Anolis sagrei: one gene and its partners. The protein of the gene in region 2 purifies or fractionates together with the protein of the main gene of each other region. This does not show direct contact. Links are inferred from orthologs where the notes say so. Each region holds a gene or a part of one and is shown on either strand. Other genes may lie near its edges.

Region 1 (7,773 bases), on a different chromosome or scaffold from region 2:
TGTTCAGCAACAGAGTGTGGTGGAAGCTTTTAAATAAAGGCTGGATGGCCATCTGTTGGGGGTACTTTGAATGTGATTTTCCTGCTTGGCATGGGGTTGGACTAGATGGCCCACAATGTCTCTTACAACTGTATGATTCTATAGGTATGTATGGATGCAGTGTTCATATGCAACCACAAGAGGACAGTATAAAGATAGAAAGGATTCGCTACTGGTCTATAGCTGTATGAATGCAGTGCTCAGATGCTGCCACAAGAGGGCATTATACAAATAGAAAGGATTCGCTACTGGTCTATAGATATGTATGGATGTAGTGCTCAAGTGCAACCACAAGAAGGCAGAATAAAGATAGAAAGGATTAGCTATTAATCTATAGCTATATATGGATGCAGTGCTCAGACACAGCCACAAGAGAACAGAATAGAGATATAAAGGATTAGCTACTGGTCTCTAGGTATGAACACGGGGGTCTTTTATGGGTAGAAAAAAGTGGGCTTTAAAATATAATCTACCTGTGGGGTGTTTAAAAAAAAGGGGGGGGGGTCTTATGGGTTAAAAAGTCAGGCTTTCAAATGGAGGCTGATGAAGGCTTTTAAATATTTAAAAGTGGGTTCTAAACAGGGGCACTTTTACATTGGGCTTTAAAATGGGGCTGTTTTGCGGGTTGAAAAAAGGTGGGCCTTTAAATGGAGGTTTGGATGGCTTTTATACATTGAAAGTGGGTTCAAAAATTGAGGCTTTTATGGTTTTGAAAGGGGGGATCTTTAAAATGGTAGTTTAGCTGAAGAGTTGTTTTTTTTTAAAAAAAAATGAGATTCAATATGGAGGCCTTCTTTGAGGGGAGGTGTAGCGAAATGTTTGTTATAGGTTAAAGTTTTAATATATATGTCAGTGTTGTAATAGGGCCTACATTGAAGAGTTGATGCAAGAACAGCCATTATGTTATTCTTAGAGGGCAGTAACAGAAGGAGAAGAGTTAATTTGCATAAAGGGTTCCGATTGGTCCTATGCAAACGAGTAGGTGCAGAAGCTGGAACAGGAATTTAAAAGTTGACAGTTGGGAAATTACTGCTCAAGCAGGGAACTTTGAGACAGTAGAACAGAAGCTCTCCGAAGCTCTAGGTGCTCTTACTGCCTATTACAGGGAAAACCAGCTGATCCCCAACCCATCTAAAACACAGACATGTGCCTTTCATCTCAAGAACAGACAAGCATCCCGAGCTCTGAAGATCACCTGGGAAGGAATCCCACTGGAGCATTGCAGCGCACCCAAATACCTGGGAGTCACTCTGGATCGTGCTCTGACCTACAAGAAGCACTTTTTAAATATCAAGCAAAAAGTGGGTGCCAGAAACAATATCATACGAAAGCTGACTGGCACAACCTGGGGATCACAACCAGATACAGTGAAGACATCTGCCCTTGCGCTATGCTACTCTGCTGCTGAGTATGCATGCCCAGTGTGGAACACATCTCACCACACTAAAACAGTGGATGTGGCTCTGAATGAGACATGCTGCATTATCACGGGGTGTCTGCGCCCTACACCACTGGAGAAATTACACTGCTTAGCCAATATTGCACCACCTGACATCCGCCGGGAAGTAGCAGCCAATAGTGAAAGGACCAAGGCTGAGACATCTCCAGCTCATCCCGTTTGGGTATCGGCCAGCACGTCAACGACTTAAATCTAGACATAGTCTTCTAAGATCTACAGAGAGACTCGCTGGAACACCTCAGCAAGCGAGAGTCCAAAAGTGGCAGGCTCAAACTCAGCACCTCAACCAATGGCTGATACCAAATAAGACTCCCTCCTGGGCACACAGAAGACTGGGCAACTTGGAAGGCACTGAACAGACTGCACTCTGGCACCACGAGATGCAGAGCCAACCTTCAGAAATGGGGCTACAAAGTGGAATCCTCGACATGCGAGTGTGGAGAAGAGCAAACCACTGACCACCTGCTGCAATGCAACCTGAGCCCTGCCACATGCACAACGGAGGACCTTCTTGCAGCAACACCGGAGCACTCCAAGTGGCCAGATACTGGTCAAAGGACATTTAACCAACTACCAAACTCACAAGTTTTCTATTTGTCTGTTTGTTTGCTTTGTTCTGTTAGAAATGTAATATAATGCACTGGTTGCTCTGACACGAAAAATACATAAATAAATAAAAATAAGTTGGCAAATGGCAGTTGAGGCTTGAGTCAGTTTGAGTGCAGAAGCCAGAGTAGGAAGCTAGCAAAATGTTGATGTTTGAGTACCTTTGAAGTAGACTGTTATGAAAAGAAAACTGTAATGAAACCAAGTTATGTGCAACTAAGAAACAGTGATATAAATGTAACCAATAAGCATTTGTACAAGAAGCTATAAATAAACAATGTTACTGTGAAGTTTGTCTGAAACCTGTAATGCAAAGCACTGCACAAGTTTTCTTAAAGAGTCACAGAAGAGCCACAGCTAATTACAAAAAGAGAATCTATGTAGGTTCCTGGAAAGAGTGGGGACAGTAAAGGGATTTAAAAGGAAAGGATTTTCTCCTCCTTAGTCGGAAAATAGATGCTTTTGAGCTGTGGTGCTGGAGGAAAGTGCTGAGAGTGCCTTGGACTGTGAGAAGATCCAACCAGTCCATCCTCCAGGAAATAAAGCCCGGCTGCTCATTGGAGGGAAGGATACTAGAGACAAAGTTGAAGTCCTTTGGCCACATCATGAGGAGACAGCAAAGCCTAGAGAAGACAATTATGCTGGGGAAAGTGGAAGGCAAAAGGAAGAGGGGCCGACCAAGGGCAAGATGGATGGATGGCATCCTTGAAGTGACTGGGCTGACCTTGAAGTAGCTGGGGGTGGTGATGGCCGACAGGGAGCTCTGGCGTGGGCTGGTCCATGAGGTGACGAAGAGTCAGAGACGACTGAACGAATGAACAACAACAAAAGGCTTTGATGCCCTCCTTGGGTAGGTCTCTATTTAAAACCTTCCTATCAGCTAGGCCTTGAAGCCTTCCTAAGGTAGGCCTCCATTGTAAACCTTCCCCTAAGACAGGCCTTGGAAGCCTCCTCAGGTAGGCCACAATTTAAAGTCTCCTCGTGTAGGCCTCTATTCTAAAACTTATTATTAACTTTATTTGTACCCTGCTAGCATCTCCCGAAGGACTCGATGCAGCTTATGAAGGCCAAGGCCTCAATACACAGCATAACAATACAAAACCTAAAGCAAATTAAAAACAATTAAAACAATATTAAACAACAAAACAACAAGCAATAAACAATACACCAAAACACAATAAAACTGGGCCGGGCCAGAGTAATGGGTACAGAATTAAAAGTGCTGATGTGACAGGTGGTATATAAGGATTATTTTTTTTGTGTGTCAGGAGCAACCGCTCCTGTTGTGAGAGAATTGGCTGTCTGCAAGGACGTTGCCCAGGGGACGCCTGGATGATTTTTTTTTATATAAGGCTTATAGGGAAAGTGCAGTGTGCAGTGTGTGGCAATCTTAGTTCTAATAAAGTGCTTCTGGGACTTGGTATTGGAAATTTCCTATTCTGGGAAGGCACATCGGAACAGCCAGGTCTTCAAGTTCTTTCTAAAGATTGCCAATGTAGGAGCCTGTCTAAGATCTTTGGGGAGGGTGTTCCAGAGTCGGGGGGCCACCACAGAAAAGGCCCTGTCTCGTGACCCCCACCAAACGTGCTTGCGACTCAGGCGGGATCACGAGCAGGGCCTCTCCAGATGAATGTAGTGAACGTGTGGGTTTGTAAACGGAGATGCAGTCACGCAGGTAGGATGGTCCCAAACCGTTCAGGGCTTTGTAGATAAGCACATGCACATTTAATTGGGCTCGGAAAATAAACGGCAGCCAGTGGAGGTCCTTGAACAGGAGGGTTGACCTCTCTTTATAAGGGGTACCAGTTAACATCCTGGCCGCTGCCCGTTGGACCAGTTGAAATTTCCGGGCCGTTTTCAAGGGCAGCCCCACTTAGAGCGCATTGTTGTTCATTCATTCAGTCGTCTCCGACTCTTCGTGACCTCATGGACCAGCCCACGTCAGAGCTCCCTGTCGGCCGTCACCACTCCCAGCTCCATCAAGGTCAGTCCAGTCACTTCAAGGATGGCATCCATCCATCTTGCCCTTGGTCGGCCCCTCTTCCTTTTGCCTTCCACTTTCCCCAATCTAGAGGTGACCAAGGCATGGACCACCCCGGCCAGATCAGCCTTCGCGAAGTACGGTCGCAGTTGGCGCACAAGTCTTAATTGTGCGAAAGCCCTCCCGGCCACTGCCGACACCTGAGCTTTCAAACGTAAGTGATGAATCCAGGAGGACAACTTTCCCCTCAGATAGGCCTTGATGCCCTCCTTGGGTAGGTCTCTATTTAAAACCTTCCTATCAGGTAGGCCTCGAAGCCTTCCTAAGGTAGGCCTCCAATGTAAACCTTCCCCTCAGACAGGCCTTGGAAGCCTCCTCAGGTAGGTCACAATTCAAAGTCTCCTCAGGTAGGCCTCCATTCTAAACCTTCCCCTCAGCCAGGCCTTGAAGCCTTCCTCAAGTAGGCCTCCATCGAGAACCTTCCCTTCAGCTAGGTATGGAAGCCTTCCTCGCATAGGCCTCATTCGGCAGGCGGCCATTGCGCCTCCTTTCCCTCAGGCGGCGCCTTCCCTCCTCTCTCCCTCCATTTTCCTCCCTCCCTTCCTTCTTCCATGGGCCGCAGCGGAAGCCCGTGCTGTTTCCTCCTCCTCCCCTTCTCGGTCCCTTGGGCTCCTCCTCCTCCTCGGCGCCGAAAAATGGCGGCCGGAGCCGGGCCCCTGGAGGAAGGAGTCGGCGGCGAAGGGGGCCTGCCTTTCTCCTCCTCGGCGCCGCCTCCTCCGCCTCTCCCGCCCTGCTCCAACCTGGGCGGAGCGCCCCCTCACGCGAGGCCCGAGGCTCCGGGGCCTGGTGCTGCGCAGAACCGGGGCGGAGGCAACCCGCGCATCCAGGGGGTCGCCTCCTCCTCCTCGCCTCCTCCTCCCGCGGCCTCGGCGCCGTCGTCTTCCTCGTCGCCACCTTCCCCGCCGCCTTCCTCGCCTCCGCCCTCGGCCTACAACTGGCAGGCCACCAAGCCCACGGTCCTGGAGCGCATGGCCTTCCTCTTCAACAACGAGGTGCTCAGCGACGTCCACTTCGTAGTCGGGAAAGGACGGAGGGGCGCCCAACGCCTCCCTGCACACAGGCAAGGAAAGAAGAAGGGAGGGAGGAAGATAGGAAGGGGGAAAGAAGGAAGAAGGAAGAGGGAAGGAAAGAAGAAAGAAGGAAGGAAGATGTGTGGAAAAAAGGAAGGGAGGAAGAAGAAGGAAAGGATGAAGGAAGGAAGGAAGGAAGGAAGGAAGGAAGGGGCAGGGAGGGAAGGAAATATAGACATATATACATGTATTTGTTTATGTTGTCATGTCTGCATGTGTGCTCTGAATGAATTTGTGTGTTTTTATACATATAGACATACACACACATATCTATCTATAGATATATACACAAGTACACACATATTACACAGAGGTACACACTCACATATACTGTATACATATATAAACACACACAGATACATACACTTATGCACACACACATATACATGCATAGGTTATTGTAGGTTTTTTCAGGCTATATGATCATGTTCTAGAGGCATTCTCTCCTGATGTTTCGCCTGCATCTATGGCAGGCATCCTCAGAGGTTGTGAGGTCTGTTGGAACTAGAAAAATTGGGTTTATATTTCTGTGGAATGACCAGGGCGGGACAAAGGACTCTTGTTTGCTGGAGCCAGGTGTGAATGTTTCAACTGACCACCTTGATCAGCATTTGATGGCCTGGCAGTTTTTTTTGGTGTGGTTTGTTAGTGCCTGGGGGAATCTTTGGTTGAGAGGTGATTAGCTGTTCCTTATTGGGCCGTTTTAGGTTTTTTCGGGCTATATGGCCATGTTCTAAAGGCATTCTCTCCTGATGTTTCGCCTGCATCTATGGCAAGCATCCTCAGAGGTAGTGAGGTCTGTTGGATCTAGGAAAAAGGTTTTATATATCTGTGGAATGACCAGGGTGGGACAAAGGACTCTTGTCTGCTGGAGCCAGGTGTGAATGTTTCAACTGACCACCTTGATTAACATTTGATGGCTTGGCAGTGCCTGGGGCAATCTTTTGTTGAGAGGTGATTAGATGTCCCAGATTGTTTCCTCTCTGATGTTTTGCTGTTGTGATTTTAGAGTTTTTTAATACTGGTAGCCAGATTTTGTTCCATTTTCATGGCTTCCTCCTTTCTGTTGGAATTTTCCACATGCTTGTGGATTTCAATGGCTTCTCTGTGTAGTCTGACATGGCGGTTGTTAGAGTGGTCCAGCATTTCTGTGTTCTCAAATAATATGCTGTGTCCAGGTTGGTTCATCAGGTGCTCTGCTATGGCTAACTTCTCTGGTTGAAGTAGTCTGCAGTGTCTTTCATGTTCCTTGATTCGTGTTTGGGCAATGCTGCGTTTGGTAGTCCCTATGTAGACTTGTCCACAGGGAACCACTGACCGCATAGGGAAAGTGATGAGGAAACACAATATACAAACTATCTACAGACCCACCAAGAAAATCCAACAAATGCTACGTTCAGCAAAGGACAAGAGGGATCCTCTCCCTTCTGCAGGAGTCTACTGTATACCATGCAGCTGTGGACAAGTCTACATAGGGACCACCAAACGCAGCATCGCCCAAGCACAAATCAAGGAACATGAAAGGCACTGCAGACTACCGCCAGGCCATCAAATGCTAATCAAGGTGGTCAGTTGAAACATTCACACCTAGCTCTAGCAGACAAGAGTTCTTTGTCCCACCCTGATCATTCCACAGATATATAAACCCAATTTTCCTAGTTCCAACAGACCTCACTACCTCTGAGGATGCTTGCCATAGATGCAGGCGAAACATCAGGAGAGAATGCCTCTAGAACATAGCCATATAGCCCGGAAAAACCTACAGCAACCCAGTGATTCTAGCCATGAAAGCCTTTGAAAATACATATACATACATAAATGCACACTTATATATGTGTATTTATACACACATATATTACACATATGCAGATACACATACATAAAAAGCACATATATAAATATGTATAAATACACATATCGTACATACATAAATACAGACGCACACACACATATATATACATGCAGTTCCCAAGTTACAAAGAAGATCAGTTCTGCAGGTTTGTTCTTAAGTTGAATTTGTGTGTAAGTCAGAACAGGGACTTTTTATGTGTAACTTTAGCTAAAACAAACATTTTGTTAGCTTTGGATAGCATAAACCCCTAAGAGGTTTCCTTTGCTGTCTGTGTTCAGAATATTTCGTCGCACTTTATGCCCCTGTGGTAATGGGATTTTGACAAAGGCAGCTTGTTGTGGAAACAAGGATTGATGATAAAGCTTCAGTGGAGGCCTCTTTTCCCCATGATAATAACACTTTCAGGACTTTCTCTTCCTATCGAGGGGCAGATTTCTCCTGTTGTCTCAGTCTCTGCCTTTGTAACTTGGAATCGGATGTAAGTCAGGTGCCTGTAACTCAGAGACTGCCTGTATATATAATCACACACACACACACACATTACATACTTGTGTGTGTGCGTGTCTATGCATGTATATGTGTTTGCATGTGCCACATGGACCTGTACTTTGTGTGTGTTATTTATTTGTGGGTGTGTTATGTGTTTATGTATATTATCTGTACTGTGTATGTGTTTACATATACTCACGCACATGTTATATCATTG
Region 2 (7,733 bases):
AAAGGAAGGAAGGAAGGAAGAAAGAAAGGAAAGGAAAGGAAGGAGGGAGGGAGGGAGAAAAGAAAGAAAGAAAGAAAGGAAAGGAAAGGAAAGGAAGGAAGGAAGGAAGGAAGGAAGGAAGGAGGGAGGGAGGGAGAAAAGAAAGAAAGAAAGAAAGGAAGAAAGGAAGAAAGGAAAGAAAGGAAAGGAAAGGAAAGGAAAGGAAAGGAAAGGAAGGAGGGAGGGAGGGAGGGAGAAAAGAAAGAAAGAAAGAAAGAAAAGAAAAGAAAAGAAAGGAAAGGAAAGGAAAGGAAAGGAAAGGAAAGGAAGGAGGGAGGGAGGGAGGGAGAAAAGAAAGAAAGAAGGAAAGAAAGAAAGAAAAGAAAAGAAAGGAAAGGAAAGGAAAGGAAAGGAAAGGAAAGGAAGGAGGGAGGGAGGGAGGGAGAAAAGAAAGAAAGAAAGAAAAGAAAGGAAAGGAAAGGAAAGGAAGGAAAGAGGGAGGGAGAAAAGAAAGAAAGAAAGAAAAGAAAGGAAAGGAAAGGAAAGGAAAGGAAGGAAGGAGGGAGGGAGGGAGGGAGGGAGAAAAGAAAGAAAGAAAAAAGAAAGGAAAGGAAAGGAAAGGAAGGAAGGAAGGAAGGAAGGAGGGAGGGAGGGAGAAAAGAAAGAAAGGAAGAAAGGAAGGAAGAAAGGAAAGAAAGGAAAGGAAAGGAAAGGAAGGAGGGAGGGAGGGAGGGAGAAAAGAAAGAAAGAAAGAAAGAAAAGAAAAGAAAAGAAAGGAAAGGAAAGGAAAGGAAAGGAAAGGAAAGGAAAGGAAGGAGGGAGGGAGGGAGGGAGAAAAGAAAGAAAGAAAGAAAAGAAAGGAAAGGAAAGGAAGGAAGGAAAGAGGGAGGGAGAAAAGAAAGAAAGAAAGAAAAGAAAGGAAAGGAAAGGAAAGGAAGGAAGGAGGGAGGGAGGGAGGGAGAAAAGAAAGAAAGAAAGAAAGAAAGAAAGAAAAGAAAAGAAAAGAAAAGAAAGGAAAGGAAAGCAAAGGAAAGGAAGGAGGGAGGGAGGGAGGGAGAAAAGAAAGAAAGAAAGGAAAGAAAGGAAAGGAAAGGAAAGGAAAGGAAAGGAAAGGAAAGGAAGGAAGGAAGGAAAGAAAGAAAGAAAGAAAGAAAGAAAGAGGGACGGAGGGAGGGAAAGGGAGAAGGAAGCATTGAAGCAAAGAGAGAAGGAAGGAAGGAAGGAGGTAGAGAAGGAAGAAAGGAGAGAAAGAGGGAGGGAAAGAAAGAGGGGGAAGGAAGGAAAGTTAGAGAAAGAAGGAAGGAGAGAAGGAAATAAAAAAGGGAAAGAAGGAAGGAAAGAGGGAGCGAAGGAAGGAGGGAAGATGTAGATAAAGAGGAAAGGAAGGAAAGAAGGAAAGAGAGAAGGAAGAAAAGAGAGACAAGAAGAGAAAGAAAAAGGGGAAAAGAAGAAAAGAGATAGAGAAGGAAAGACGGGAAGGAAGGAAGGAAGGAAAGAGGGAGTGAAGGAAGGAGGGAAAGAAGGAGAGAAAGAGGGAAGTTTGGCCACAGCAACGCGTGACGGGTACAGCTAGTAAATAATAAACAAACTTTTGGTAATGTACTTGGTGTTGCTTTAACAGAAACCTTCCAGTTTGTCTCATCTGAATGAGATGTTTTGCTGTTTGAGTTTATCGGTAAGGAAATGAGATTCTTTCCTTTTCCCGTAAGTATATTCTAAATCTAAAGGATGTCACTTCCCCATCGTTTACTTTCAATGCAAAATTATAATGTGACCCAACAGACACGTAGTTCCTGAATCTTGACCAATAAGGCTTGACCACAAAGTTGCCACAATGATCTACAAATAGTTGGTTGCTGAGCAAACAGGAAAAGCTTGCAATCTTTTTTTCCTCCTCCTCCTCCTTCCAAACCTTATAGAGATCACAGCCTTTTAGTCCTAAATCTTGCTAATCAGTCTCTAAACAACCTGGCTGCACAAAAGTCAACATTGACACTGAAGTACAACACCGCCTGAGCTCTGCGAGTGCAGCATTTTCCCAAATGAAGCAGAGAGTGTTTGAGGACCGGGACATCCGTAGGGAGAAACATGCCCAGCTCCTTAAGCCGCTCCTCATAGGGCTTGTTCTCCAGACCTAAACAGCTACCCTGTTTATAAAGCCACTGTCCTCCCAACCCTGATATGCACCTACGAAACGTGGACTGTAATAATAATAACAACAACAACAACACTTTATTTGTACCCCGCTACCATCTCCAAAGGACTCGCTCGCCTCTGGACACATTCCAGCTTGTCAATACCACAATTCAAGAGAGATATTGACAACCTGGAATGTGTCCAGAGGAGGGCGACTAAAATGATAAAAGGTCTGGAGAACAAGCCCTATGAGGAGCGGCTTAAGGAGCTGGGCATGTTTAGCCTGAAGAAGAGAAGGCTGAGAGGAGATATGATGAGGGCCATGTATAAATACGTGAGAGGAAGCCACAGGGAGGAGGAAGCAGATCAAGGGTCTGGAGAACAAGCCCTATGAGGAGTGGCTTAAGGAGCTGGGCATGTTTAGCCTGAAGAAGAGAAGGCTGAGAGGAGGTATGATGAGGGCCATGTATAAATACGTGAGAGGAAGCCACAGGGAGGAGGAAGCAGATCAAGGGTCTGGAGAACAAGCCCTATGAGGAGCGGCTTAAGGAGCTGGGCATGTTTAGCCTGAAGAAGAGAAGGCTGAGAGGAGATATGATGAGGGCCATGTATAAATACGTGAGAGGAAGCCACAGGGAGGAGGAAGCAGATCAAGGGTCTGGAGAACAAGCCCTATGAGGAGCGGCTTAAGGAGCTGGGCATGTTTAGCCTGAAGAAGAGAAGGCTGAGAGGAGATATGATGAGGGCCATGTATAAATACGTGAGAGGAAGCCACAGGGAGGAGGAAGCAGATCAAGGGTCTGGAGAACAAGCCCTATGAGGAGCGGCTTAAGGAGCTGGGCATGTTTAGCCTGAAGAAGAGAAGGCTGAGAGGAGATATGATGAGGGCCATGTATAAATACGTGAGAGGAAGCCACAGGGAGGAGGAGGGAGCAAGCTTCCTTTCTGCTTCCCTGGAGACTAGGACGCAATGGAGCAATGGCTTCAAACTACAAGAGAGGAGATTCCACCTGAACATGAGGAAGAACTTCCTGACTGTGAGAGCCGTTCAGCAGTGGAACTCTCTGCCCCGGAGTGTGGTGGAGGCTCCTTCTTTGGAAGCTTTGAAACAGAGGCTGGATGGCCATCTGTCAGGGGTGGTTTGAATGCAATATTCCTGCTTCTTGGCAGAATGGGGTTGGACTGGATGATGGCCCAGGAGGTCTCTTCCAACTCTTGGATTCTAGGATTCTGACTCTATGACTGTGAGAGCCATTCAGCAGTGGAACTCTTTGCCCCGGAGTGTGGTGGAGGCTCCTTCTTTGGAAGCTTTGAAACAGAGGCTGGAATGGCCATCTGTCAGGGGTGCTTTGAATGCAATCTTCCTGCTTCTTGGCAGAATGGGGTTGGACTGGATGATGGCCCAGGAGGTCTCTTCCAACTCTTGGATTCTAGGATTCTGACTCTATGACTGTGAGAGCCATTCAGCAGTGGAACTCTCTGCCCCAGAGTGTGGTGGAGGCTCCTTCTTTGGAAGCTTTGAAACAGAGGCTGGAATGGCCATCTGTCAGGGGTGCTTTGAATGCAATCTTCCTGCTTCTTGGCAGAATGGGGTTGGACTGGATGATGGCCCAGGAGGTCTCTTCCAACTCTTGGATTCTAGGATTCTGACTCTATGACTGTGCGAGCCGTTCAGCAGTGGAACTCTCTGCCCCGGAGTGTGGTGGAGGCTCCTTCTTTGGAAGCTTTGAAACAGAGGCTGGATGGCCATCTGTCAGGGGTGCTTTGAATGCAATATTCCTGCTTCTTGGCAGAAGGGGGTTGGACTGGATGATGGCCCAGGAGGTCTCTTCCAACTCTTGGATTCTAGGATTCTATGAAACATAAACAATAAACATATAACATTGTCAATAAGACAACATACAATTAAAACTGTGGGAGGGCCAAATGTAAAATTAAAATTGGAAATAGTGCTGAAACGTGGACGAAAAAGTGATAGTGGTGTTTGTGGAAAGACATACGAGCAGACCTAAAAATGTGAAGTGCTTTAGAGGGACAAAGTGATATGGGATCATTATTCCAGGCAGGCACACTGGAACAACCACGTCTTCAAGTTCCTCCTGGAGACTGCCAGGGTTGGGGCCTGCCTGATGTCTCCACCACACTCCGGGGCAGAGAGTTCCACTGCTGAACGGCCCTCCTATAATAATAATAATAATAATAATAATAATACTTTATTTATTCCCTGCCACCATCTCCCCAAGGAGACTCAGGGCGGCTTACATGAGGCCAAGCCCAACAACACATCAGTAAACAACAAGGCAGCAAGAAAATAAAACAGTACAATTAATATAACTCACATATAAACAATAACACAAGGACTAGTGGGCGGGGCTTCCCTCCCAGTGGGCGGGGCCACAGCTTTCTCTGCCTCCGCGGCTCCTCCTCCTGCCGCTAGAGGGTGCTGTATCTCTCCATCTAAACTATCCCAGCCGTAGATGTAGGGCCGTCAGGGGCGCATGCGCCGGCTCTGCCTCCGCCACTCCTCCTCCTGCCACTAGAGGGCGCTGTCTCTCTATTAAACTATCCTCTTCGTAGCTCTAGGGGGGCCAGGGGCGCATGCGCAGTCCCTCGGCGCTGCTGGGCTACGGGTGCCGCGTCGGGACATCCCCCACAGCCAAGATGGCGGCGTCGGGCTCCAGCGGCGGCTCCTGCCCGCCGGGGCCCGGGAGCAGCAACGGAGGGGGCGGCGCGGGCGGCATGGAGGTGGACGCGGCCGGTGAGCAGGGAAGGGAGCGAGGGGGAGAGGGGAGAATGGGAAGGGTAGGCCTGGCTGGGGCCTGACGGGGCTTCTCTTCCTCCTCGTCCTCCTCCTTGGCAGCGGGCCCGGCGGTGATGGCCTCGGGCGTGACGGGGAGCGTGTCGGTGGCGCTGCACCCGCTCGTCATCCTCAACATCAGCGACCACTGGATCCGGATGCGCTCCCAGGAGGGACGCCCCGCACAAGGTGAGAGGCCCACAAGGAGAAAACAGCCGGGGGAGGGGTCTGGGGAGGGGGCCACGAGAGAAGAAGAGTTAAGGAGAAGGCCTGTCTCCTCCTCACTCTATTATTATTATTATTACTATTTGAAACACAACAAGAGCTGTTCAGCAGTGGAACTCTCTGCTGAAACAGAGGCTGTATGGCTATCTGTCGAGATGGGGAGGTCTCTTCCCACTCTTGAGTTCTATAAGGAAGGAAAGAAGGAAGGAAGGAAGAGGGGAAGCTCCTCAAGCGGGAGCTGTTCAGCAGGGGAACTCTCTGCTGAAACAGAGGCTGGATGGCTATCTGTCGGGAGGGGGAGGTCTCTTCCCACTCTTGAGTTCTATAAGGAAGGAGAGAAGGAAGGAAGGAAGGAAGGAGGGGGGGGAGCTCCTCAAGCAGGAGCTGTTCAGCAGTGGAACTCTCTGCTGAAACAGAGGCTGGATGGCTATCTGTCAGGAGGGGGAGGTCTCTTCCCACTCTTGAGTTCTATAAGGAAGGAGAGAAGGAAGGAAGGAAGGAAGGGGGGGAGCTCCTCAAGCGAGAGCTGTTCAGCAGTGGAACTCTCTGCTGAAACAGAGGCTGGATGGCTATCTGTCGGGAGGGGGAGGTCTCTTCCCACTCTTGAGTTCTATAAGGAAGGAAAGAAGGAAGGAAGGAAGTGGGGAAGTTCCTCAAGCAGGAGCCGTTCAGCAGTGGAACTCTCTGCTGAAACAGGCTGTATGGCTATCTGTCGGGAGGGGGAGGTCTCTTCCCACTCTTGAGTTCTATAAGGAACGAGAGAAGGAATGAAGGAAGGGGGGAGCTCCTCAAGCGAGAGCTGTTCAGCAGTGGAACTCTCTGCTGAAACAGAGGCTGGATGGCTATCTGTCGGGAGGGGGAGGTCTCTTCCCACTCTTGAGTTCTATAAGGAAGGAAGGAAGGAAGTGGGGAAGCTCCTCAAGCGGGAGCTGTTCAGCAGTGGAACTCTCTGCTGAAACAGAGGCTGGATGGCTATCTGTCGGGAGGGGGGGTCTCTTCCCACTCTTGAGTTCTATAAGGAAGGAAAGAAGGAAGGAAGTGGGGGGGGGGAGCTCCTCAAGCGAGAGCTGTTCAGCAGTGGAACTCTCTGCCCCAGAGTGTGATGGAGGCTCCTCCCCCCAAGGCCCATTTCCGCAAGGCGCCCCAGAAGGATACCGTGGTCGACGGTATCGAAGGCCGCTGAGAGGTCCAGGAGCACCAACAGGGACACACTCCCCCTGTCTAGCTCCCGGCGCAGATAATCCACTAAGGCGACCAAGACCGTCTCAGTTCCATGTCCCGGTCTGAAACCAGACTGTGCCGAATCCAGATAATCCGTGTCTACCAAGAATACCTTGGTAGAGTTGTGAGGCCACTACGCTTTCCATGACTTTGCCCAAAAAGGGGAGATTGGAAACTGGCCGAAAGTTGTCAAATCTAGTGGGATTCAGTGATGGTTTTTTCAACAGCGGTTTTATGATAGCTTGTTTTAAGCTCGCTGGAATCTTGCCTTCCCGAAGGGAGGCGTTAACCACCACTGTTACCCACTCAGCCAATCCCCCTCTGGCCTCCTTCAGAAGCCAGGATGGGCAGGGGTCTAGGATGGACGTGGTGGGCCTCATTCCTCCAAGTATCTTGTCCACATCCTCGGGCTTCACCAATTGAAATGAATCCATCAAAATAGGACAAGCAGGTGCTCGGGTCACATCCTCGGAGACTGCATTTAATATGGTGTCCAGACCGGAACGGATCAAGGCGACTTTGTCTGCAAAGAACCGAGCAAATGCTTCACAGCGCGTGGCCGAATTGTCAGGGCTCCCGCCTGAGGTGGCGGGAGTTAAAAGACCTCTGACAATCCGGAACAACTCCGCCGGACGGTTTCTTGCAGACGCAATAGTAGCCGCAAAGAAAGTTGTATTATTGATCTGTGGGACGCTACTTGCTTTTTAAACTTTTCATCTTTTACTTTTTAATAAACTACAAAGACTTCAGTCTGTGTGCACTTCTGGTGATTTCAGCAAGGGGAATCTATTCTGAGGTGCGACAGGAGGGGCCAAGGAGAGGGGGATACAAGGGGGGGGAGAGACAATGGGGGGGCTATGACTGTCTGGGGGGAGCTACAAGAGAGGGGGAGGAGCCAAGGTTGGAGGGAGGGGCCAAAGGGGAGGGGGGGTCAATAAAGGTCTCTCTCTCCATCTCCCTCCGGCCTTCTCCCTTGTTCTCTCTCCACAGTGATCGGGGCGCTGATTGGGCGCCAGGAGGGGCGCAACATCGAGGTGATGAACTCCTTTGAGCTGCTCTCACACTCGGTCGAGGAGAACGCCGTCATCGACAAGGAGTACTACTACACCAAGGAGGAACAGTGTGAGCCCCAGCAAAGGAGGGAGGGAGGGGACATATGGGGCTAAGGAGAGAGGGAGAGGCACAGGAGAAGGGTCTCCGAAGGCAATCCAGTCTGACCCTATTCTGCTAGGCAGGAAAAGCACTATCAAAGACACCCCCCCCCCCACACACACACACCCAAAAGGCCCCTCCTGACACATGGCCATCCAGCCCCAGTTTCTAAAGCCTCCAAGGAAGGCGCTTCCACCAGACTCTGTGGCAGAGAGTTCCACTG
Region 3 (7,973 bases), about 120 Mb from region 2:
TTCATGGCAACAAGAAGGCAGGCAACTATACACAACAAGTAGAGGATATGCACTTTCATTTCAGCAAGCTTGGCCATAACTTGAATGTTAAAGTCCATTATCTGTAGTCACTCAGGCCCCACACTTCCATATAAAATCCAGATTATCTTCTTTGAACTCATTGTACAGCAGTGTAGACTCAGGTAATCCAGTTCAAATCAGATAACATGGATTATCTGCATTGACAATCTGGCTATATGGCAATATAGAAGTGGTCTGAGGCCCCATCTATGCTGCCATATAAAATCCAGAATATCTGCTTTAAATTGGATTATATGGCAATGTAGACTAATATAAATCCATTCAAAACAGATAATATGGATTTTATATAGCAGTGTAGATGGGGCCCTAGACCCGTTTCCAGAGAACTGTGGACCCCTCTACGCTGCCTTATAATCCGGATTATCCATGCAGATAACCCACATTATCTGCTTTCAACCAAAATCGGGATGGTAGACATTTGTTTTCATGTTGGCTGCCAAAAGATCAATTTTCTATCGGCCCATTTTGGGGGGAGGGGGAGTGCTTCCCAGGCTCCCATTCCCGTCATTTTAGACATTTAAGTTCTTTTACTCTAGAGGAGATGCACTCAGCTGCAGACAGGTGTGTTCTGCGCACGCTTTAAGGAGGCTTATTATCTATTCGAGAGGAGGTGCTTGGCTGCAAGCAGGCACAGGTGATTTCGGCAACCATACACACGCACACACTCTTTCCTAGGCAAGTTCTCATTCTTACTCTAGAGGAGGCACTTGGGTGCAGGCAGGGGTGTGGACTTTCTGGGTGTGCATGCCACACATACATGCACCCTGTTTCCAAAGCAAGGAGACAACAGGTAACTTCTCATTCTTACTCTAGAGGAGGTGCTTGGCTGCAAGCTGGCCTGCATGCCACACACACATGCACTCTCTTTCCAAGGCAAGAAGGCATGGAGCGCCACATACTCACGAAAAGCAGGCAAGGAGCCGGGATTGGCTCCTGCTTGCTTTTGTGCCGAGCTGATTTTCCTGCCAGGAGTGGGCTTCCCATTACATGCTCCCGAAGGTAACGAAGTAACAAAAGAATGGATGAAACAAAGGAAAACGGTTCCGCACACAACTCTAATTAAAGAGATATGTGGCTCTCTTACATTTGGTCAGTGAGAAAACTGGTTAGCCTACTCTTTGTCTTGTGTATGGTTCTGCGAGCTGCAACCATGAAACTTGTCAATTAGACAAATCCATCGAGAATGTAATAGATTAGACATTTTTGCAAAAGAGTACTCAGGCTATCGATAGCTGTTAGTTATGATGGTAAAACATTGCCTCTAGAGTCAGAGGTAGCGTGCTTCTTAATGCTAGTTAGTGGAGGAATGACAACTAATGGAGGCCATTGTTTTGTGTTGTGAGCTTCCCTGGAGTATCCAGTAACCTCCTGTGGAAAACTTGATATTGACCTAGATTGTTCTGATTCATCAAGATTCCCCTTGTGTTACCATTGTGGCACTATATTTTATTCATGACAGCAACACTATTTGTCATCATCACATGAATGGGCAGCACTTTCTCTTTAGCTCTGAGAGTGGTCATGCACATTCCATGATATCCAAACAGTTCTGTAAACAGATGTCAAGAGGCCTGCATTTAAAAATAATTATGAGCTTATGCTCTAATTTAAGTGGTTTTAAATTTAAAATAGCATGGTTCAGCAGCTAGGATGAGTACTGTAAATGTACTTTGGGACATTACTACAATTAGTCATAGCTTAACTGAGTAGCCTTCAGCATGTTTTTCATGCAGTAGACCATGATGGCTTTGAAAGACAGCAGATCACAAGAGCTGTCTTCATAGACCTGTCAGCGTCTTATGATACTGTAAACCACCGCCTCCTCCTGACAAAAATGTATAATATCACAAAGGATTACCACTTCACCCACCTCATAGGAAATCTGCTACAAAACAGGAGCTTTTTTGTTGAATTCCAGGGCTAGAGAAGCAGATGGCGGAAACAGAAGGACGGCCTGCCTCAGGGGAGCGTGCTTGCTCCATCCATGTTCAATATCTACACAAATGACCAGCCACTACCAGAAGGGACAGAAAGTTTCATCTATGCTGATGATCGTGCCATTACCGCTCAAGCAGGGAGCTTTGAGATGGTTGAACAGAAGCTATCCGAAGCTCTAAGTCAGTGGTTCTCAACCTGGGGTCCCCAGATGTTTTTGGCCTACAACTCCCAGAAATCCCAGCCAGTTTACCAGCTGTTAGGATTTCTGGGAGTTGAAGGCTAAAAACATCTAGGGACCCCAGGTTGAGAACCACTGCTCTAGGTGCTCTTACTGCCTATTACAGGGAAAACCAGCTGATCCCTAACCCATCTAAAACACAGACATGTGCTTTTCATCTTAAGAACAGACAAGCATCCTGATCTCTGAGGACTACCCTTCAGGAGAGAATGCTTCTGGAACATGGCCAGACAGCCCGGAAAACTTACAGCAACCCACTGAAGCTTTTGACAATACAACAACAACAATAATCTATATAAATAAAAATGTAATGTTCATTTGTGGAATTAACAGAACTCAAAAACCACTGGACGAATTGACACCAAATTTGGATACAAGACACCTAACAACCCAATGTATGTCCTTCACTCAAAAAATTGATTTTGTCATTTGGGAGTTGTAGTTGCTGGGATTTGTAGTTCACCTACAATCACAGAGCATTCTGAATCCCACCAACAACAGAATTGGGCCAAACCTCCCACACAGAACCCCCATGACCATCAGAGTGGGCCACAGCAACGCGTGGCAGGGGACGGCTAGTCTATATAAATAAAAATGTAATGTTCATTTGTGGGATTAACAGAACTCAAAAACCACTGGACAAATTGACACCAAATTTGGACACAGGACACCTAACAACCCAATGTACGTCCTTCACTCAAAAACATTGATTTTGTCATTTGGGAGTTGTCATTGCTGGGATTTATAGTTCACCTACAATCAAAGAGCATTCTGAACCCCACTAATGATGGAATTGAACCAAACTTGGCACACAGTTCTCCCATGACCAACGGAAATGCGGAAAACCGCATTGAGTCGCCTAATTAGGTTGAGAAACACGGTATAGAAATAAAGCAAATAATAAATAAATAAATAAACGGAACACACTGGAAGGGTTTGGTGGGCATTGACCTTGAGTTTGGGAGTTGTAGTTAACCTACATCCAGAGAGCACTGTGGACTCAAACAATGATGGATCTGGACAAAACTTGGCATGAATACTCAATATGCCCAAATGGGAACACTGGTGGAGTTTGGGGGAAATAGAATCTTGACATTTGGGAGTGGTAGTTGCTGGGATTTATAGTTCACCTGCAATCAAAGAGCATTCTGAACCCCACCAACGATGGAATTGAAGCAAACTTGGTACGCAGTTCTCCCATGACCAACAGAAAATACTGGAAGGGTTTGGTGGACAGTGTCCTTTGGTTTTGGAGTTGTAGTTCACCTACATCCAGAGATCACTGTGGACTCAAACAATGATGGATCTGGACCAAACTTGACACAAAAATTCCATATGCCTAAATATGAACACAGATGGAGTTTGGAGGAAACAGACCTTGACATTTGGGATTTGTATTTACTGGGATTTATAGTTCACTACAATTAAAGAGCATTCTGAAACCCACAAATGACAGAATTGAGGCAAACTTCCCACACACAACCCCCATGACCAACAGAAAATACTTAAGGCCATCCAGTCCAACTTCCTTCACCAGGGCAAGAAAATGTAATCAGAGCCCATGCAGTCATAAATATTAGGGCTGGGTAACCACGGAAAAATTTGTTTCTAAACTCAATTAGTTTTTAGGGGGTTTTTGCGTTTTGTTTTTTAAAAGAATTCCGATTTTTTTCTTTAAAAAAGTTCGAAATATACGAAATTTCGTAAATTACGAAATAATTACGAAACAATTTCGAATCGATTCGTTAATGGCGGACGCGATTGCGCAATATGCTAAAAAAATCCCCAAATGGGACAGGGGGAACTTCTGAAGCTTCCCTCTCCCTCTGTTGTTGACTGTTGGTGTGATAATTTATTTTTTATCACTGATAAAACAAACAACAACCCTAAAACTTGCACCAGACATACGGAAACAATTACGAAACAATTTCGAAAAAATTACGAAATAAATTGAAAAATTTGTTTCGATTTTTAATTGCTCCTGCATGGCTCAATATTGGATCGTAAGCTAATTTAAATACGAATTAATAACGAATTACGGAATTAATGAACGAAACCGCCCAGCCCTAATAAATATAGATAGATAGATATGATTCTCTCTCTCACACACACAGATATAGTATCATAGATTTGAAAGAGACCCTTAAAGAAGGACTATGATATGTTGCATGTTCCAGAGTAGGCAAATGAGACACTCTCCACATCAACACTGACAAAGAAACAATAAGAAATACTGTTTACTCACAAGCAGAAAGGAATTACATATATTAGAAACCAACACTTTCTCATTACTTTATTTTCCAGATCACCAGACTGGGCCACAGCAACGCGTGGCAGGGGACGGCTAGTAACAATAATAATAATGCAGATTCAAACTGCATGTTCTGGGGTGTAGATGGGGCCCTTACACAGCAGGGCGATTATACTTTTTTAAAAGTGTGAAAAGCCAAAGCTCCCCCTCCCAGAGTCTGAAATAAATGCCCTTCCCACGGGATTTCGTCACGGGTGTTGTTTTGTTGAAGGCGAGCCTTCGCCCTTTGCTCTCCTCCCCTCGGGCTTCAAGAGATCAGGCAGGAAGGCGCCTCGTGGAGGAACCTTCGCCCGGGAGGAGAAGGGCGGGGAGCGAGGGAGGGAGGGGACTACAGGTCCCAGAGTTCCCTGGTGACGTCACCGGGAGGGCGGGGCTGGCGGGCGGGCTGCGGGTTGGCGGCTCTGCCTGTCCGGCGGCGCTCCTTCCTCCTGGGAAGTTGGGATGGGACGCTCTTGGCGGAGGGAGGGCGCCCCAAGTCACTTCCTGCTGAGGAGAGAAAGTGCCTCTTTCGCTTTTCCTTTCTGGCCGAAGAAGGGAAGAGGAAGGCAGGTAAGGCGAGGAGCAGGATCCCCAGATCTGGCCCCATGCCCTCCCACTGGCTGGCTCTTGTGATCACCCTGCTCCCCTCCAACAAAGAGGGAGAGAATAATCAGAGAATAATAGAGTTGGAAGAGACCACCCAGTCCAACCCCCTGCCATACAATCAAACGTCCTGACAGATGTTTCAAAGCCTCCAAAGAAGGAGCCTCCACACACACTCCGAGGCAGAGAGTTCCACTGCTGAACAGCTCTCCCAGTTGGGAAATTTGTTGAGATTAACTTCACAATTCAGCAGCAGATCAGTTGCACAACTTCAGCGTTTTGCATCTTCCTGCACAGTATTTTCAGTCAACTGCTCCCACAAACTGCAGTCACTCTGGAACCTTTTACAAACACTTGAGCACATGCCCGGCCATTGTCAGTTTTACCATTGTCTTTCCCCCAGTCTAGATGACATTACAAACTTACCACAGCATATAGTTATATCTTGTCTTAGCAGACAAGTTCTTTTAATTACATATAGCCTTCGACAAACAACATCACAGCACAAGGAGAAATATACACTGTACATGACTTCCTTATATACAATTCTATACAATTACACATAGCAATCTCTGATTGGTTCCCAACTCATTAACTTAACTCAGACCCAGGATTACATCATTCACAATCACCTGGACTAGGCCAGAACACATTCCCCAAATGAAGTTCTAAATACAGTTAATGCATGACACAGCATTTCTAATAGGAGCCCATTAGCAGTGCATGACTCAGCTATATTACATTACAATACATGTTCAGGTGGAAATTCCTTTCCTCTAGTTTGGACCCATTGCATCCTAGTCTCCAGGGCAGCGGGAAGTAAGCCTGTTCCTTCTTCCTTATGACATTTAAAAAAGAATCATTTAATGTACATGTGGCCCGCTCTCTGTCATTACGTTTGGTTTCTCTGTTTTGTGTATATTGTTTATGCTTTGATGTTTTATACTTTATTGTTATGTTGTTTATTTTATTGCAATTTGTAATTTTGTATTGTAATTTGTTGTTCGGGCTTGGCCCCATGTAAACCGCTCCGAGTCCCTGTTGAGGGAGATGGTGGCGGGGTATAAATAAAGTTTATTATTATTATTATAGAATCCTAGAGTTGGAAGAGACCTCATGGGCCATCCAGTCCAACCCCCTGCCAAGAAGCAGGAGTATTGCATTCAAAGCACCCCTGACAGATGGCCATCCAGCCTCTGTTTAAAAGCTTCCAAAGAAGGAGCCTCCACCACACTCCGTGGCAGAGAATTCCACTGCTGAACAGCTCTCACAGTTAGGAAGTTCTTCCTCATGTTCGGGTGGAATCTCCTTTCCTCTAGTTTGGACCCATTGCTCCATTGCATCGTAGTCTCCAGGGCAGAAGAAAACAAGCCTGCTCCCTCTTCCTTATGACATAGAATCATAGAGTTGGAAGAGACTTCAATGCAGGAATATTGCATTCAGAGCACCTCCCACAGATGGCCATCCAGCCTCTGTTTAAAACAGTCTTTCTTAACCTGGGGGTCGAGACCCCTGTGGGGGTTGCGAGGGGGTGTCAGAGGGGTCGGCAAAGACCGTCAGAAAATACAGTATTTTCTGTTGGTCATGGGGGTTCTGTGTGGGAAGTTTGGTCCAATTCTATCGTTGGTGGGCTTCAGAATGTTATTTCATTGTGGGCAAACTATAAATCTCAGCAATTACAACTCCCAAATGTCAAGGTCTATTTTCCGCAAAGTTCTCCAGTGTTCACATTTGGGCATACTGAGTATTCATGCCAAGTTTGGTCTAGATCCATCATTGTTTGAGTCCACAGTGCTCTCTGGATGGAGGTGAACTACAACTCCAAAAACTCAAGGTCAGTGTCCACCAGACCCTCCCAGTATTTTCTCTTGGTCATGGGAGTTCTGTGTGCCAAGTTTGGTTCAATTCCATCATTGGTGGAGTTCGGAATGCTCTTTGATTGTAGATGAACTATAAATCCCAGCAACTACAACTCCCAAATGACAAAATCAACCCCACCCCAACCCCACCCATATTCAAATTTGGGCATATCGGGTATTTGGGATTTGAAAATACATCCTGCATATCAGATATTTACATTACGATTCATAACAGTAGCAAAATTACAGTTATGAAGTAGCAATGAAAATAATGTTATGGTTGGGAGTCACCACAACATGAGGAACTGTACTAAGGTGTCACGGCATTAGGAAGGTTGAGAACCACTGGTTTAAAAGCTTCCAAAGAAGGAGACTCCACACACATTCCGAGGCAGAGAGTTCCACTGCTGAACAGCTCTCACCGTTAAGAAGTTCTTCCTCATGTTCAGGTGGAAAACCCTTTCCTCTAGTTTGGGCCCATTGCATCCTGGTCTCCAGGGCAGCAGGAAGCAAGCCTGTTCCTTCTTCCTTATGACAAGTAATCATTTTATGTACATGCGGCCCGCTCTCTGTCATTATGTTTGGTTTCTCTGTTTTGTGTATATTGTTTATATGCTTTGATGTTTTATACTTTACTAGCCGTCCCCTGCCATGCGTTGCTGTGGCCCACATGGGGTTCCTGAGTGGGAGGTTTGGCCCAATCCTATCGTTGGTGGGGTTCAGAATGCTCTGTGATTGTAGGTGAACTATAAATCCCAGCAACTACAACTCCCAAATGTCAAGATTCTGTTTTCCCCAAACTCCACCAGTGTTCACATCTGGGCATATGGAGTATTCGTGGAGAGTTCGGTCCAGATCCATCATTGTTTGAGTGCACAGTGATCTGTGAATGTAGGTGAACTACAACTCCAAAACCAAAACTGCCCACCAAACCCTTCCAGTATTTTCTGTTGGTCATGGGAGA
Region 4 (7,624 bases), on a different chromosome or scaffold from region 2:
TTATGAATAACAATTTGTTTTCATAAACAATCCTTTGTTTATTAATAGATTAATAATAAATATGTTTATTTCTTTTCACACATTACTAATATATTATTATTTATAAATAAATACATCATTTTCATAAATAATTGTTTAGTTGTAAAAATAGTAATATTAAATTATTTATTAATAAATCGTTTAAAATTTAACACACAATTAACCATTAAATGAGATAACAATTAAAATGTATTTAATAATTAATAAATAATAATGGTGCAGCAGGTTAAATGTCTAAGCTGCTGAACTTGCTGACCGGAAAGTCGGCACTTCGAATCCGGGAACAGGTTGAGCTCCCGTTGTTAGGCCCAGCTCCTGCCATCCTAGCAGCTTGAAAACATGCCAATGTTGACTTAAATTTTATGTGTTCAATTTTAAATATTTTATTAATTTATTTATTACTATTATTTTTGAATAATCTGCAAATAACTTATTATTTACTAGCTGTCCCCTGCCAGGCGTTGCTGTGGCCCAGTCTGTTGATCTGGAAAATAAAGTAATGAGAAAGTGTTGGTTTCTAAAATATGAAATATCTTGATGCTTGTGGGTAAACTGTTTTTCTTTTTCTGTTTCTTTGCGTTGATGTGGAGAGTGTCTGGTTTGCCAACTCTGGAACATTCAACATATCATTGTCCTTCTTTAGGGGTCCCTTTCAAATCTATGATATTATCTCTCTGTGTGTGTGAATCATATATATCTTTATCTATGGCTGGATGGCTTTTTATCAGGAGGGCTTTAATTGCGTTTTCATGCCCTGGGGAAGGGAGTTGGACTGGATGGCCTTAAGTATTGGTGTTGGTCATGGGGGTTCTGTGTGAGACGTTTGCCCCGATTCTGTCGTTCGTGGGGTTCAGAACACTCTTTGATTGTAGGTGAACTGTGAATCCCAGTGACTACAACTCCCAAATGTCAAGGTCTATTTCCTCCAAACTCCATCTGTGTTCATATTTGGGCGTATTGAGTGCTTGTGCCAAGTTTGGTCCAAATCCATCCTTTTTTGAGTCCACAGTGCTCTCTGGATGTAGGCAAACTACAACTCCAAAACTAAAGGACACTGCCCACCAAACCTTTCCAGTATTTTCTGTTGGTCATGGGAGAACTGTGTGCCAAGTTTGGTTCCATTCCATCGTTGATGGGGTTCAGAATGCTCTTTGATTGTAGGTGAACTATAAATCCCAGCAACTACAACTCCCAAATGACAAAATCATTTTTTTGAGTGAAGGACATACATTGAGTTGTTAGGTGTCTTGTGTCCAAATTTGGTGTCAATTCGTCCAGTGGTTTTTGAGTTCTGTTAATCGCACAAATGAACATTACATTTTGATTTATATAGATTAATGAAAATAAATAACTTATCATTTATTAATGTATTTAATAATGCATCACAATAAAAGAGGTGAAATAAAATTAAATCAAATTATCATTCTTTCTCTTCAAGCTCGTCTTTGATCCACTGAATCCACGTCTATATTATTATTATTATTATACCCAGCTTTTATTTCGTATAAACATGCCCTGCCTTTCCAGCCCACAGCAATGGAAACCTGCCTTCAGTTCAGATTCATGCGAGGGACTGATGTGATTGGACTCACTTTCAACGACATACAAATAATGCATTGTAGACTATCGTTGTCATGCTACTTTCTACTCTAGTTGTATACTATGAAAGGAGTTGGGCTCAGTCCTTGTCAAAAATGGCAGGCTGGATGTACACTACCATACGGATTTCTGGATCAGGTTGACTGTCCGAATCAATCTGGCTTTAGACTGGGACGTGGAACAGAAAAAGCTTTGGTCACTTTGGTGTATGATCTACACGGAGAACTTGATCAGGGGAGTCTGACCCTATTAACCGTCCTGGACCTCTCAGTGGCCTTCAATACCATCAATCATGGTATCCTTCTGGGAAGGCTTGAGGGAATGGGGTTAGAAGGCAATGTGCTATGGTGGTTCTAATCCTTCTTCTCAGGCCGTTCCCAGAAGGTGGTCCTGGGGGAGTCCTGCTCGACCTCATGGCTGGTGGGTTGTGGTCTTCCACAGGACTCATTGCTATCCCCAATGTTATTCAACGTCTACCTCAGTGGTTCCCAAACTGTAGCCTGTGGACCACCAGTGGTCTGCAAGAATGAAAATATGGTCCACGGCCTTACTGTTACTACACTGTTGTCTCAAAACCACATGACTGGTCTCATGAAACTCTCTTAGGCAACGGGTATGTCGGGAGGGAGAGGCTGACTACCCACGAAAGATTACTACTACCACATCATCTCTAGATTATCAAATATGGTTTTCTGTGGATGAGCAGATGGTGACTACTGGGTAGAATATGTTCTGCATTAGAAACTAGAGCTGAGGTGGTTTGTCCAATTTTCTGAATAAGCACCCCAAATAACCAAACCGAATCTAAAGTTGACCAAAAACTGATCTGTAATCCTTTTGGTACTATTGTTGGTCAGGGGTCCAAAAGGTTGGGAACAACCGATCTACATGAAGCCACTGGGATACATCATCTGGAGTTTTGGGGTTCAGAAGGAAGGAAAGAATGAATGAATGAAGGAAGGAAGGAAGGAAGGAAGGAAGGAAGGAGAAAGGGAAACAGGCAGGGAAGGAGTGAGGGAGGGAAGGAAGGAAGAAAGGAAAGAAGGGAGAAAAGAAAGGAGGGGGTAAGCAGGGTGGGGGAGGTAAGCAGGGTGGGTGGGAGGGAAGGAAGGAGGTTGGCAAGCAGGGTGGGAGGGAAGAAAGAAGGGAAGGAAGGAAAAAGAGGGAGGGAAGCAGGGAAGGAAGGAGGTAAGCAGGGTGGGAGGGAAGGAAGGGAAAAAAGGAAGGGGGGAGGGAAGCAGGTTGGGGCGGAGGAAGGAGAGAAGGAAGGAAGAAGAGAGATAAGCAGGGTGGGAGGGAGGAAAGGAGAGAAGGAAGGAAAAAAGGAGGGAGGTAAGCAGGGTAGGAGGGAGAGAAGGAAGGAGGTAAGCAGAGTGGGAGGGAAGGAAAGAGGGCAGGAAGGAAGGGAGGGAGGGAGGGAGGGAGGGAGGGAGGGGGGAAGCAGGGTGGGCGGGAAGGAAGGAAGGGGGAAGGAGGGAGGAAGAAAGAACAGAAGGAAGGAGAGGGAAACAGGCAGGGAGGGAAAGAGGGAGGGAAGGAGGGAGGGAAGGAGGGTGGGAGGGAAGGGAGGAGGGCAGGAAGGAAAGAGATAAGCAGGGTGGGGAGGAAAGGAAGGAAAAGAAAGGAGGTAAGCAGGGTAGGAGGAAGAGAAGGAAGGAGGTAAGCAGGGTGGGAGGGAAGGGAGGAGGGCGGGAAGGAGGGTGGGAAGGAAGGAAGGAAGGAAACAGGATGGGCGGGAAGGAAGGAAGGGGGAAGCAGGGAGGGAGGAAGGAAGGAAAGAAAGAAGGAAAGGCAGGAGGTAGGGAGAAAGGGGGGGGGTGGAAGGAAGAAAGGAAAGAAGGAGGAAGGAAGGAAGAAGGAAAGAAGGAAAAGAAGGGAGGAAGAAAGGAAGGAGTCAAAGCATCCCTGTGAATGGAAGGACAAAGGAAGGGAGGAAGAAAGGAAGAAAGAAGGATGGAAGGAAAGAGTCAAAGCATCCCTGTGAAAGGAAGGAAGGAAAGAAGGAAAGGAAAGAAGGGAAGGAAGGAAAGAAGGGAGGAAGAAAGGAAGAAGGAAGGACGGAAGGAAAGAGTCAAAGCATCCCTGTGAAAGAAAGGAAGGAAAGGAAAGAGGGAAAGAAAGAAGGGAGGAAGAAAGGAAGAAAGAAGGACGGAAGGAAAGAGTCAAAGCATCCCTGTGAAAGGAAAGAAGGGAAAGAAAAGAAGGGAAGGAAGGGAAGAAGGGAGGAAGAAGGGAAGAAGGAAAGAAGGGAGGAAGAAAGAAGGACGAAAGGAAAGAGTCAAGGCATCCCTGTGAAAGGAAGGAAGGAAGGAAGGAAGGAAGGAAGGAAGGAGGAAGGAAAGGAGGGAGGGAGGGAGGGAAGGAGGGAGGGAGGGGGGAGGGAAGGAAGGAAAGAAGGGAGGAAGGAAGGAAGGAAGAAGGGAAGAAGGAAAGAGGGAAAGAAGGGAAGGAAAGAAGGGAGGAAGAAAGGAAGGAAGAAGGGAAGAAGGAAAGAGGGAAAGAAGGGAAGGAAACTAGGGAAAAAGAAAGAAGGACGAATGGAAAGAGTAGAAGCATCCCTGTGTTGGCCTTGCAAAAAGGAAGGGAGGAAGGAAGGAAGGGAGCCAGAGCCATCCCCGTGGAGGAGGCCTGGAGGCGCCGTCACGTGACCCCGCCTGGGCGCAGGAGAGCCACTTCCGCCTCCTTGCTCGCCTCCTCAACTTCCGGCGGGGTCGGCTTCCCGGCGTGCCGCGCGGGCGGAAGCGCCGCCATTTTTGGGGCTGCCCTGCCTGAGCGGGCTGTGGTGCTGACCATAACAAGGCTCTGGGCTGGCCTCCTGCTTGGGGAGGCGGACAGGCCTCGCAGGGGAGACGGAGACACGGGGAGAAGGAAGGCAGGAAGGGAGGAAGGAAGAGCGGGTGCCCGACCGTCCTTCTGGCCCGCCTGCGGCTCATCTCGGGGGTGTTCATGTTTCCCACAGGTTTCTCTTCCGCTCAGGAGGTCAGGCCTGCCACTGATGGTAGCAGCAGCAGTAGCTCCTCTTCCTCGTCGTCTTCCTCCTCCTCTTCCTCCAAGAAGAGAAAGCTAAACAACAGCGAGAAGGACGAGACGGAGCCCCTCTCTTCCTCCTCTTCTTCCTCCTGCTCTTCTCTCCTCCCCAGGAACCATTCCTCCTCCTCTTCTTCCTCAGCCATTGCTACCACCTCCTGCTCTTCCTCCTCCTCCTCGTCTTCCTCCAACCACCACTTGCAGAAGAAGCTCCGCTTTGAGGACTCCTTGGATTTTATTGGACTCGATGTCAAGATGGCCGAGGAGTCTTCCTCCACTTCGTCGCCGGCTTCGTCTTCCTCGTCTGCTTCCCAACAGCAGCAGCAGCAACAACAACAGCTCAAAAGCAAAAGCCTCCTCCTTTCTTCCGTGGCCGCGGGACACCACGCGAACGGCCTGACCAAAGCCGCCTCGTCCAGCGTCTCCAGCTTTGCCAATAGTAAACCGGGCTCGGCCAAGAAGTTAGTCATCAAGAATTTTAAAGGTAACGCTTCTGGAAAACGACATTCAGGGGGGAAAAACACCTTTTGGAAATCGTAACTTTCACCTTTCAGAGAAGAGCCAAACACACTCTTCTCAACCCTCAGATGTCTTGGCCTTCAACTACCAGAAATCCTAGCAGCTAGTAAACTGGCTGGGAATTCTGGGAGTTGTAGACCAAAACACCTGGGAACCCACAGGCTGAGAACCACTGCTCTAGAACAGGGGTCCTCAAACGAAGGCCCGGGGACTGGGCACCACGCGAACGGCCTGACCAAAGCCGCCTCGTCCAGCGTCTCCAGCTTTGCCAATAGTAAACCAGTCTCGGCCAAGAAGTTAGTCATCAAGAATTTTAAAGGTAACGCTTCTGGAAAACGGCATTCAGAAAGGAAAAGAAAAACACATTTTGGAAATCGTAACTTTTGAGGAAAGTGTCACCTTTCAGAGAAGAGCCAAACACGCTTTAGAGAAGTGTTTCTCAAATATTTGTTTCTAAGCCAGTGGTTCTCAACCTTGCTAATGCCGTGACCCCTTAATGCCGTTCCCTATGTTTTATTTATTTATTTATTATTTAAACTTATATGCCGCCACTCTTCTGGGGCTCGGAGCGGCTAAATCTAACAAAGTTTAAAAGCTATTTAAAACAATTTAAAAACAACAGTATCAAACATTAAAAGCCTGTCGAAACAGGTATGTCTTACACGCCCTGCGGAAAGCTGGTAAGTCCTGCAGGGCATGAACTTCAGGTGGCAGAGCATTCCAGACTGATGGTGCCACTGCTGTGAAGGCTCTGCGTCTGGTTGCCGTTAGATGCAAGGTCTTGACACTGGGGACTTCCAATAGATCTTGGTCCTCAGAACGGAGGGATCTCTGGGGTTGGTGGTGTGGTGACCCCCAACCATATTGTTTTCGTTGCTACTTGATACCTGTCATTTTAGTACTGTTATAAATCGTAATGTAAATATCCGATATGCAGGATATATTTTCACTGGACTAAATTGGGCACAAATACCCAATATGCCCAAATGTGAATGCTAATGGGGTTGGGGGGGGGATTGATTTTGTAATTTGGGAGTTGTAGTTGCTGGGATTTATAGTTCACCTATAATCAAAGAGCATTCTGAACTCCACCGGCAATTGATTTGAACCTAATTTGCCACACAGGTTGAGAAACACTGGTGTATGTAATACAATGAAAATCTAATTTTTTTGAAAAATTATGACCGTACAGAAAGTCATTATTTTCCAGGATACAGCATATAGAGATTGAAAAAGAATAGTGATCAACATAGCTATAATACAAAAAAAAACAAAAACATTATTGAGATTTTTATACTGTTACCTTCTAGATCAGTGGTTCTCAACCTGTGGGTCCCCAGATGTTTTGGCCTTCAACTCCCAGAAATCCTAACAGTTAGTAAACTCACTGGGAATTCTGGGAGTTGTAGGACAAAACACCTGGGGAGCCATAGGTTGAGAACCACTGCTCTAGAACAGGGGTCCTCAAACTAAGGCCCGGAGACTGGGCACCACGCGAACGGCCTGACCAAAGCCGCCTCGTCCAGCGTCTCCAGCTTTGCCAATAGTAAACCGGGCTCGGCCAAGAAGTTAGTCATCAAGAATTTTAAAGGTAATAATAATAATAATAATAATAATAATAATACACTTTATTTATAACCCCCTACCATCTCCCCAAAGGGGACTCGGTGCGGCTAACATGAGGCCAAGCCCAAAAGAATGCAACATAATAAACACACAGTAACAAAATACATCATGACAATATATAAAATAACAAAATCAACAATATAGAACAGCATATTAAAACTAGACACAGAGGGCGGGCCAAATATGTGAGGTAAAATGTTTAAAAAGTTAAAACCCTGGGTGAGATAGGGATGAAAGTGCATTTGTAGGAAAGGAGCCCAACAGGGAGGAACCATGGGATTTAGACATTTGGTGGGGCGGGGGGGATGCTTGGTTCTGAGGGTATCTGTAGACTAAGACAACCAGATGGGTTGAATGGTCATTCTCCAAAAGCACAATGGAAGAGCCAGGCTTTTAGGTCTTTCTTAAAACCAGCTAGGGTGGGGGCTTGCCTGATCTCTTTAGGCAACGAATTCCAAAAGCGGGGGGGGCCCAGCAGAAAACATAACACTTCTGGGAAAAGGCATTCAGGAAAAAATAACACCTTTTGGAGGTCGTAACTTTTGAGAAAAGCATCACCTTTCAGAGACGAGCCAAACACGCTTTAGAGAAGTGTTTCTCAACCCTCAGAGGTTTTGGCCTTCAACTCCCAGAAATCCTAACAGCTGGTAATCTAGCAGGGATTTCTGGGAGTTGTAGGCCAAAACACCTGGGGACCCATAGGTTGAGAACCACTGCTCTAGAACAGGGGTCCTCAAACTAAGGCCCGGGAGCCAGATTGCTCACAGGAGGAGGATATCGAGAGCACACAACGCCCTTGCTACGCCAGCTCCAC

What was found.
Region 1: the proteins of COPS6 (region 2) and BTBD2 purify together in Homo sapiens (affinity purification with mass spectrometry; 4 studies listed by BioGRID and IntAct, counting the BioPlex papers as one, with this or other methods). This does not show direct contact. The link is inferred for Anolis sagrei from reciprocal best matches to the Homo sapiens genes COPS6 and BTBD2.
Region 3: the proteins of COPS6 (region 2) and TOR1AIP2 purify together in Homo sapiens (affinity purification with mass spectrometry, with the first as the bait; 3 studies listed by BioGRID). This does not show direct contact. The link is inferred for Anolis sagrei from reciprocal best matches to the Homo sapiens genes COPS6 and TOR1AIP2.
Region 4: the proteins of COPS6 (region 2) and CUL4B purify together in Homo sapiens (affinity purification with mass spectrometry; 8 studies listed by BioGRID and IntAct, counting the BioPlex papers as one, with this or other methods). This does not show direct contact. The link is inferred for Anolis sagrei from reciprocal best matches to the Homo sapiens genes COPS6 and CUL4B.

Annotation. Positions count from the first base shown.
Region 1 is NC_090034.1:52,727,730-52,735,502, forward strand, and holds the start of BTBD2 (BTB/POZ domain-containing protein 2), read left to right. Parts: upstream 1-4,681; 5' UTR 4,682-4,696; coding exon 4,697-5,205; intron 5,206-7,773.
Region 2 is NC_090024.1:246,917,692-246,925,424, forward strand, and holds the start of COPS6 (COP9 signalosome complex subunit 6), read left to right. Parts: upstream 1-4,693; 5' UTR 4,694-4,713; coding exon 4,714-4,873; intron 4,874-4,975; coding exon 4,976-5,101; intron 5,102-7,348; coding exon 7,349-7,480; intron 7,481-7,733. UniProt on the Homo sapiens protein: Component of the COP9 signalosome complex (CSN), a complex involved in various cellular and developmental processes.
Region 3 is NC_090024.1:125,730,828-125,738,800, forward strand, and holds the start of TOR1AIP2 (torsin-1A-interacting protein 2), read left to right. Parts: upstream 1-4,952; 5' UTR 4,953-5,117; intron 5,118-7,973. UniProt on the Homo sapiens protein: Required for endoplasmic reticulum integrity. Regulates the distribution of TOR1A between the endoplasmic reticulum and the nuclear envelope as well as induces TOR1A, TOR1B and TOR3A ATPase activity.
Region 4 is NC_090030.1:3,459,834-3,467,457, reverse strand, and holds the start of CUL4B (cullin-4B), read left to right. Parts: upstream 1-4,359; 5' UTR 4,360-4,584; coding exon 4,585-5,149; intron 5,150-6,675; exon of another isoform or gene 6,676-6,775; intron 6,776-7,624.